Linked DNA regions of Xenopus tropicalis. The protein of the gene in region 1 interacts with the protein of each later gene in a biochemical or structural test. Links are inferred from orthologs where the notes say so. Each region holds a gene or a part of one and is shown on either strand. Other genes may lie near its edges.

Evidence for each region.
Region 2: the proteins of sytl4 (region 1) and rab8a form a complex in vitro, tested with the Homo sapiens proteins (2 studies listed by BioGRID). The link is inferred for Xenopus tropicalis from reciprocal best matches to the Homo sapiens genes SYTL4 and RAB8A.

The regions. Positions count from the first base shown.
Region 1 is NC_030684.2:64,656,658-64,661,060, forward strand, and holds the start of sytl4 (synaptotagmin-like protein 4), read right to left. Parts: upstream 2,845-4,403; 5' UTR 2,637-2,844; intron 1-2,636. UniProt on the Homo sapiens protein: Modulates exocytosis of dense-core granules and secretion of hormones in the pancreas and the pituitary. Interacts with vesicles containing negatively charged phospholipids in a Ca(2+)-independent manner.
Region 2 is NC_030677.2:104,432,344-104,436,171, forward strand, and holds part of rab8a (ras-related protein Rab-8A), read left to right. Parts: intron 1-510; coding exon 511-571; intron 572-2,349; coding exon 2,350-2,427; intron 2,428-3,630; coding exon 3,631-3,720; intron 3,721-3,828. UniProt on the Homo sapiens protein: The small GTPases Rab are key regulators of intracellular membrane trafficking, from the formation of transport vesicles to their fusion with membranes.

The DNA.
Region 1 (4,403 bases):
CCTGCAGTTGCAAGCTCCACTTATTTGGAGTTACAGCACTGCTAGTAATCAGTCACTTGGTTTAATGTTAAAATGACTACTAAAAAGTGCTCAGATACATAAAAAAAATTAGAGTGTTTCAGCCTTTTGTGCAATGCAATGTTTGGGTTATTGGGGTCACCAGCCCAGATAGTATCTTATTTGTCACCCTGCAGAATTAAAAGGTTAACTTCCCCTACAATCAGACTACCAGTTAATTGCCATGCTTTATAATGAACCAGCTGTGAGAGTAGATGGAAAGGCTGTGCACTGTATTAACAAACTTGCATTTAAAAACTGACATATTGATTTTACCTTAGCTTACAATAAACCACAAGGTCAAAATGTTTCAGTACAGAGAATATAAAGGAGATCTATCTCCACCTAATAACTATATTTGCATGCTAAAAAGACAATGTAATTCTAAGCACGGAGCTGTATTTATATATAGGCACTCAGGTGCCCAAGAGATTTTTTTGTATTATTTTTTAGGAAAAATAAAACCTCCCCAGTTACCACTGGAGACTTGCTGTGCAAATCTGGGGTACCTGACCCAATGTAATGCATCATGGTCAGATGTAACATCATGCGCAGTTTGCAAACTGGGGGGGCACTAAATACAGCAACTTTCCAATATACATTTATAAAAAATGTCAATGGTTTTAACATTGTTTGTAAAGTTAATATCTGCTGAAAGAAGTATTTATGTTTCCTTTCTGTTGTCTGGTTCTGATTCCAGAAACAATATAGTGAACATCAGTTTTCTTCCAGGTCTATTAATCAGCTGGCCTCTGCTTGATTGATTTAGGAGACAGAACCAAAACTGCAAAGAATATAAACAGCTAGACAGGTACTGATTTCAAAAGCAATTACATCTACCATTCATTTTAAAACCAATATTTTTTAATGAATTTATATTGGAAAGTTGCTTATAATTCAATTTTATTAAGAAAAAACTGTTTTTACATTACATTTCCCTTTACATGGGACTTGAAAAAGAAATGTGTCAGTATAAAAAAAAAAAAAAAAAAGACAGCAGCTAAAATGCTCCTCAATCACAGAAGCCAGAGGTAAACACTGAGCAAGCCTTACCATTCAGCCATGCATACTGTGTTACACAAATATTGGCACTGCACAGACGTCTATAGGGCTGGGTACAGATATTTATATTGGCTCTAGGAAACAAACAGTAGTTCCACAATATGTTCCCACTGCTAATGAATGTGTATCTGTATGTCAGAGATGACAAGTACTCCATCTGTTTCTAAACTGAACTTAAAACCCACAGACTGGTTAAATTGCCAGAGGTCTACAGGTTGAACATCCCTGCTTAGGTCAATAGTTTTTCTTGCCCAGATCATAACCTGCTCTTTTCAAAAACCTTCCTTGCCCAAATCATTCCCTGCTCATGTTAAGTTTGATTGCCAAAATTATTATTTTAAAATCATTTTATAAAACCAAGCCCCTTCTGCTGCAATGCCAGGGCACTATGTGACATTGTTACAAACATTTTTGAGATTGCCAAACTAAGCAAAGTATTAAGGAAATTGAATGTAACCTCTTTAATGCGGTTTAAGAAAAACAGAGCTCAGAGATTTGCGTTCCATGGCAAATTAAAGGATAGTAGTTACATAGTTACATAGGGTTGAAAAAAGACCATTGTCCATCAAGTTCAACCCATCCGAGTAAACCCAGCACACAACCTATACTAACCAATCTATACACTCACATACATAAACTATATATACAACCAGTAATACTAACTGTAGATATTAGTATCACAATAGCCCTGGATATTCTGCTTGTTCAAAAACTCATCCAGGCCCCTCTTACTTGTCACTATACAGTGCCAGGATAAATGGTAATGTTGCTTTAAACACTGGCATCTGTTACAAACAGAATCGCTGGATCCCCATTGATATACTAATGTTTGCAACAACAATCAGAAGACTGCAACAAATGCCAATACAGCACTTTAAAGAGACATGCTCAGAGATGTCAACTAAGCCCATGTCTTTCGGTTGATCATGACCCATTCCTGGAATATCTTAAATCTAGTTCCTCTTCACATGAAACACAGTAACATAGAAAAAAAAGGTCTCCGAAATGCCAGTAGGATCGCTACCACCTAAAGACATAGGTGAGAACTCTTCAGATTTATGGAATATGCCAGGAATATCCACTGTCCATTAAGGGGGCCTGAGAAGATCAAGTTACACCTCTCTATAGAGGGCTGTAGAGAATCTAGCTGTAGGGCCACCATCCAAATCCTTTTTTCCCCACTGGGGTCGCCATAGAAGTGTAAGATTCTGAACCATGTATGCTATACCCACAGTACCAAATATTTGTTTTAAGAGCCCACTAAAGACTGGGTACCCCATAGTTGTGCTGCTTGCAGCCCTGAAGGATGAATGCCCTGTTCAGCCTCCTATTGTGCATTTTATTATAAGCCTTGCCCTTAGGGCAATGGCGTACGGGCGTTTGAAGTAGAACAAGGACCTGTAATTCCCACCATAGAAAATACAAGGGAGAGGTGAGTGCCTACTGGCCGGCCAGCCTGGAAGGAACTTTCCCAGATCCGGTTTGTGGTGCGCACAGTTGCTGAGTATGGCTCTTACCTGCGCTCACAGGAAGCTCCACGGCTGGGCTATGGCTGCGGCGGGAGAGCTCGGTAACAAGGTTGCTCGCCACACAATGCGGAAAAGCAGAGCGCTAGACCGAGAAAGGGAATGAGCTGAAAGTTTCCCAGCTGCTGCCTGGGACTGGAGGGGAGAGGCACACAATTCTTAAAGTGACCGCACCTGCAAAGGAGTCACAGCCGTGTGGGAGGGGAAAGAGGGTGCGCACAGGAAGATCAATGTACTGAATGGAAATGCGGGATAGGAAAGGATTTGACAGGAATAATAACAAATCTTTATCATCTAAGTAACCGCAGTAGGACTGAGTGTGCCCAGCTATTTTAGAAGAAATATAGGTTTCTGCCATGATGGCAGATTGGAAGGATGCCGGCAGCGTGCAGGTAGTTTATGCAGTGCTTCTCCTTCCAGTGGATCGGTTTTAACATCACCCCAGAGTGTGTCCCATTGCACAGATTTTACACTGATTTCATGCGTTTACTTCTTGTTCAAATCTCAACTATAATCGTTGTATAAACATGTTATTACCATAACTAATAGCAGTATTATAAAACTGTTCTGTAGTGTTCCCTCTAAACTGGTGGAACTAAGCTGGTGTCAGAACTGTCACAAGTTCCCACACAAAGCGTTTTGTATGCACACGTCATTTAGTAGGCACACAAGTTAGGGCCATGGCCCACTGGGACACTAGTCTCCTGCTGTTAAATCTGTGCTACCAAGGGCGAATAATCTTCAAAAAACACCTTCCCACTGGCAATAAACTGAATCACCAGTGGGAAGATGTTGCTTTGTTTTCCAAAGTCACTCAACGTTTTCCCCTGCTTGTACTTTCCCACCAGCGATTCACTTAATTGCCAGTTGGAAGGCGTATCAGGGAGAGTAGTTTTACTGTGGGAAACAAATCTACCCATGGGCCATGGCCCTTACAAAACTGGTTCTTTATGTGTACGATGATGACATTTAATTGAACATGAGCTCATATAGTTGGGCTTGTGCAGAAAAAATGCATAAACAAATTTCCAAAAATAAGGTTTTTTTTAACACAGACATATCCGTTTGTAAAGATGCTCAGGTCATCCAGGTCATGGTATATCTGTAGTAATTTCTGAATTGTGAAAGCCAGTTGGATGACTGGCGAAACGTCTTCAAGAAAAAAAAACACAGCAAGTCCAGTTGATTTGACTTACTACAGATACAGACATATCTGATTCCATAGATTGAAAGGAATTTGTGTGTCTGTGCTGCAGGTACCTGCTCCTTCACCTTGTTCTATTGTGAAGTGTCCTTCTGACTTCCAGGTAATCTGTGCACAACCAACTATGGAAAGCACTAAAGTTCTAAAATACATCACTTCACAATGGAACAAGATAGGGGGAGGGTTTGCACAACACTGTGAGCCTAAGGGATTTTGGGAAATGGCTATTGAATATTATGGCTTCATTTCAGTCCGTAGCTTCAGGCATGTAAAAACTGGATTTATATTTATTTTTGGGTGTTCAGATGGTGCACCAGAGCTATACTGATAGCAACATTCACAGGCTTGCAGCTACAAATGTACAACATTCCATACCCTAATTAGAGTGAAAGTTACAAAGTAAGATATGTATGTATGTATGTATATTTTTATTTATAAAGCGCTACTTATGTACGCAGCGCTGTACAGTAGAATACATTAATACAAACAGGGGGTTAATAAGATAATAGATAAATACAAAGTACAACAATAAATACAAGATACAGTTACAGTTG
Region 2 (3,828 bases), on another chromosome or scaffold:
GATGTGGTCCCCGATCCGACTGAATCTTGTAACCTGCCCGATCTATATCTGGCCAATTTCAGGCCAGATATCAGTCAGGCAGGCCAGTCGTTGCTGCCCCTACATGGGCCTACAATCGTGTATGGCCACCTTTATACTCAGTAGGGGAAACAATAGATTATCTGAAAGCAGTTCTAATGTGTAATGTGTTTAATGTGGCTCCTTCTGAAAGCTCAGGCACAATGTACTGAGATTGCTATGTAATCAGTGTAATTTACAAATAAAAATTACAACCTGTAAATCATGACAATCCCTTTAATGCATTAAATGTTTGGGGGACTAAACACCCAAAACAAATTAATGTAAAATTGCTTAAACGAATGCTGTTTACATTATTTGTTGTTTCCTTTACAAAAATACTGCCTGAAGCACGATTCCCACCTTGAACCATAAAAAGCCCCCCTTGTTTTGTTTTTTTTTTTTTCTCTGCTTACATTACTGATTGGTCATAATACTGTTCTACAATTCTAGGGATACCGCAGGACAGGAACGGTTTCGTACAATCACCACTGCATATTACCGAGGGGCGATGGTAAGTGATAAAATAAGGTTGCACATCCACACTGCATTTCAATTGGTTAGTACACTTTCATGCGAGGATTTTCTTTTCCTGAAATGTAAACAGTAATTCAGCAAGCTAATTCAGCAAGCCCCCCCCACCCCCCCCCCCAGCCCATCTATTTTTTTTAACCACACAAGCAAAAATTATATCCCAGCATTAATTACAAGTAGGGTAAGTGGGGCTTGAGGTGGGTTTGCATGTGATAAAGTCTTGTTTCTTTGAGCCTTTTTCTAAGATAGCTTCAGTAATGCTGCTGAAGCTGGGGGGATCAGGATTCATAGTTGTCAGGACAGAATAAGATACAGCTGGGTAGGAGTATAGGAATTTATTTGTTATCTTGCCCTTTGCTGTTCTTTGCATGGTAGGAGGCATTTAACCCATTGGTGTCCTCTGCAATGAGAGATTATAGGAAGATTTTGACAGATGTCTACTTTACCCTTATAATCTCTGGTATCTCAATACGTGGAGTATTTATATTGCTGAACAAAAAATAATTTTAATATCAAGAGAACAAGGATGTAAACAATAGGTGTTGGTTAATAAGAGACAAATCACAACAATAAGCCTAGTGGTACATTTCATTAGAACTGCTACAAGAGGTGCTCACTTCTGCTATTGCAAAAACAATACGTCACTTTGGCACCCTGATAAGTAACTTCTGCTTTGCGGTATATTGTTATCTTTAATTATTATTATCCTTTACAGAGCACCGGTATATTACAAATTGCTTTACAGGAAAATGCTTAATCATTCACACCAGTCCCTGCCCTTGTCAAACTTTCCTGCCACACACACACAAATACAAACACAATGGTCAGTTTCATCAGCAGCCAGGTGACTTACAAGGATATATTTGGGAGGAAACCCACACAAACATAATGAGAACATACTGTGAGGAATCGGTGCTTACCATTAGACTCCTGTAACCTTTTCTAGCACTGATTTCAGAGAGCACTGTATCACTTTTTTTCAACTTAAGTGGCCTACTATAGTGCTTACAATTAAAAGAAAACTTAAACCCCCAACCTCCCTTTTTAAATGTATTCCCACATTCTCAGGGCCCCCTTCTCCTTCCCAACTGCATAGACCTCTGTGTGAAACCCCATGAGACCCCCATACCTGGTATGTAAATTTAGAGTTGTGCAACAGGGTTGGATGGTGTTATATTCGGCCATGAGACATTCAGTATTGGCTAACATGGTTAGTTAAGCAAGCTGAACTAACCTAATAATGTGGTATATTGACTAATGAATGGTTTGTCGGTGAGATTGAGCAGGTTTCCTGATTAATTCCAATACACGTTGCATCAAAATGTGATCAGTTAAAACAACTGTTCAGAACCTGTTTCCAAAAATTCACATGAAGTGTTCACGGTTCACCTGATATCCTGTTTCGGCCAGCTTGTGACACATTCATGGTTACAAGGAATTGATGTATAATTGATTAGGATCTTATTTTAGCAACCAAACCAATGATTGTTGCACAAGGATTGCCTGTGTTCTACTTCTTTTACTAAATACAGAGGTGGTGGCATATAAATATGTGTATGCATAGAAATGATATGTGACAATCTCACAGGGAAATTATTAAACACTTACGTGTATTTTCATAAACCAGTTTAAACTAAGAGCTAAATGACTGTACACATATATTCTAAAACAGTATAAAATAAACAAGTTGTACTTTCTTTCTTGTCATTGCATTACTGTTGGATATCATTTCATAAGGAAACATTTTTTTTCTTTTAGGGAATTATGTTGGTGTATGATATCACCAATGAAAAATCCTTTGACAATATTAAAAACTGGATCAGAAACATTGAAGAAGTACGTATTCATTTTTAGCCTAGAACTGTTATATTTTTTTTTATAGATCTGGACTTCCTTTTTATTCAAGCACAAGTACCTGTAGCATGATTTGGCAATGGCAATGTGGTTTCTCATTAAAAAGAAAGAATATCGTCTCTCTGCAACAAATCTATTCACCTGAAATTCTTGTTCCAGCAGAAAGTATGTTCTGTAGAGAGCTTGGCACAGGTTTATGCAAGTGTGCCACATACCTGATAAAGCAGGTGCACACAGGTCCTGGCTGGGATTCGCAAGAGGCCCTGGCATTTCAAGTACACAGAGGCCCAAACAGTCCCCCACCAGTCCACTAAATAGTGACTGTCTGTGGCACCTTACAGCAACCCCTCTGGCATCTGCCAGAATCTACAGCCAATTTGGGGGCAGGTGCATATAAGAGAAGTATCATGGGCATATTTGCTTTTGTCTTGACTGATCATATTTATTTTTAGTGGGGAGAAAAGCAGTGTACCTTTATATATGTTATAGATAGTGGAATATTTCTATTTTTAATTATAATTCAAACAAACAAAATTCTCTCTTCACCAGCATCTGGTTTGCACTTTTCCGCACTAATAATTTTTTTTTTTTTTTATTGATAGCTCTACAAAGAGAAAGCAAATAAGTGAATTATGTTGGACATTAAATTGGTCTCACATGCCAATTTGGTCATGTGCTCCCAACTCAAGCATAGCATGGTCCAAATGTGGGCCCATAATGGCCATTGTCTATATTTTTGGCAGTTTGGGGATCAGAAGGGCCTTTCATTTTACCAGTTTAGTTTGTTTGAATGACTGGGATACAAGGAAGGAAGGAAGGAAGGCTGTTCTCCCAGTTACCATATATACTGGGCCAATGTGATCACTAGCCAAACAGATTTTTCCTACATTATTATCATCATCATGTATTTATAAAGCACCAACATATTCCACAATGTTTTACAATATACATTGAACAGATTTACATACAAAACAGCCAATAACTAATAAAAGAGGTAAAGATGGCTCTGGTGATCTTTGTATGACCAGCATGTATGATGTATGACCATCTGTCAGACTTTTGATTGCATGACAAGCCACTTTGACTTCAAAGCGTGATAGGAAAACTAATGTTTGATACCATCATACTATTCTGACTGACAAGTTCTCGATGCAAATATAAACCTTTACACTCTTTGCCTTCCAGCATGCATCCTCTGATGTTGAGAAAATGATCCTAGGAAACAAATGTGATGTGAATGAAAAGCGACAAGTTTCCAAAGAGAAGGGTGAAAAGGTAAGAGTTATTTAACAGTTTTGGTGTTCTGATATCTGAGCTTAAAACCCATTAAGCTGTGAATAGGTAAACGAGCTATGAGGTCCTGTTTGGGTACATTTAAAAATA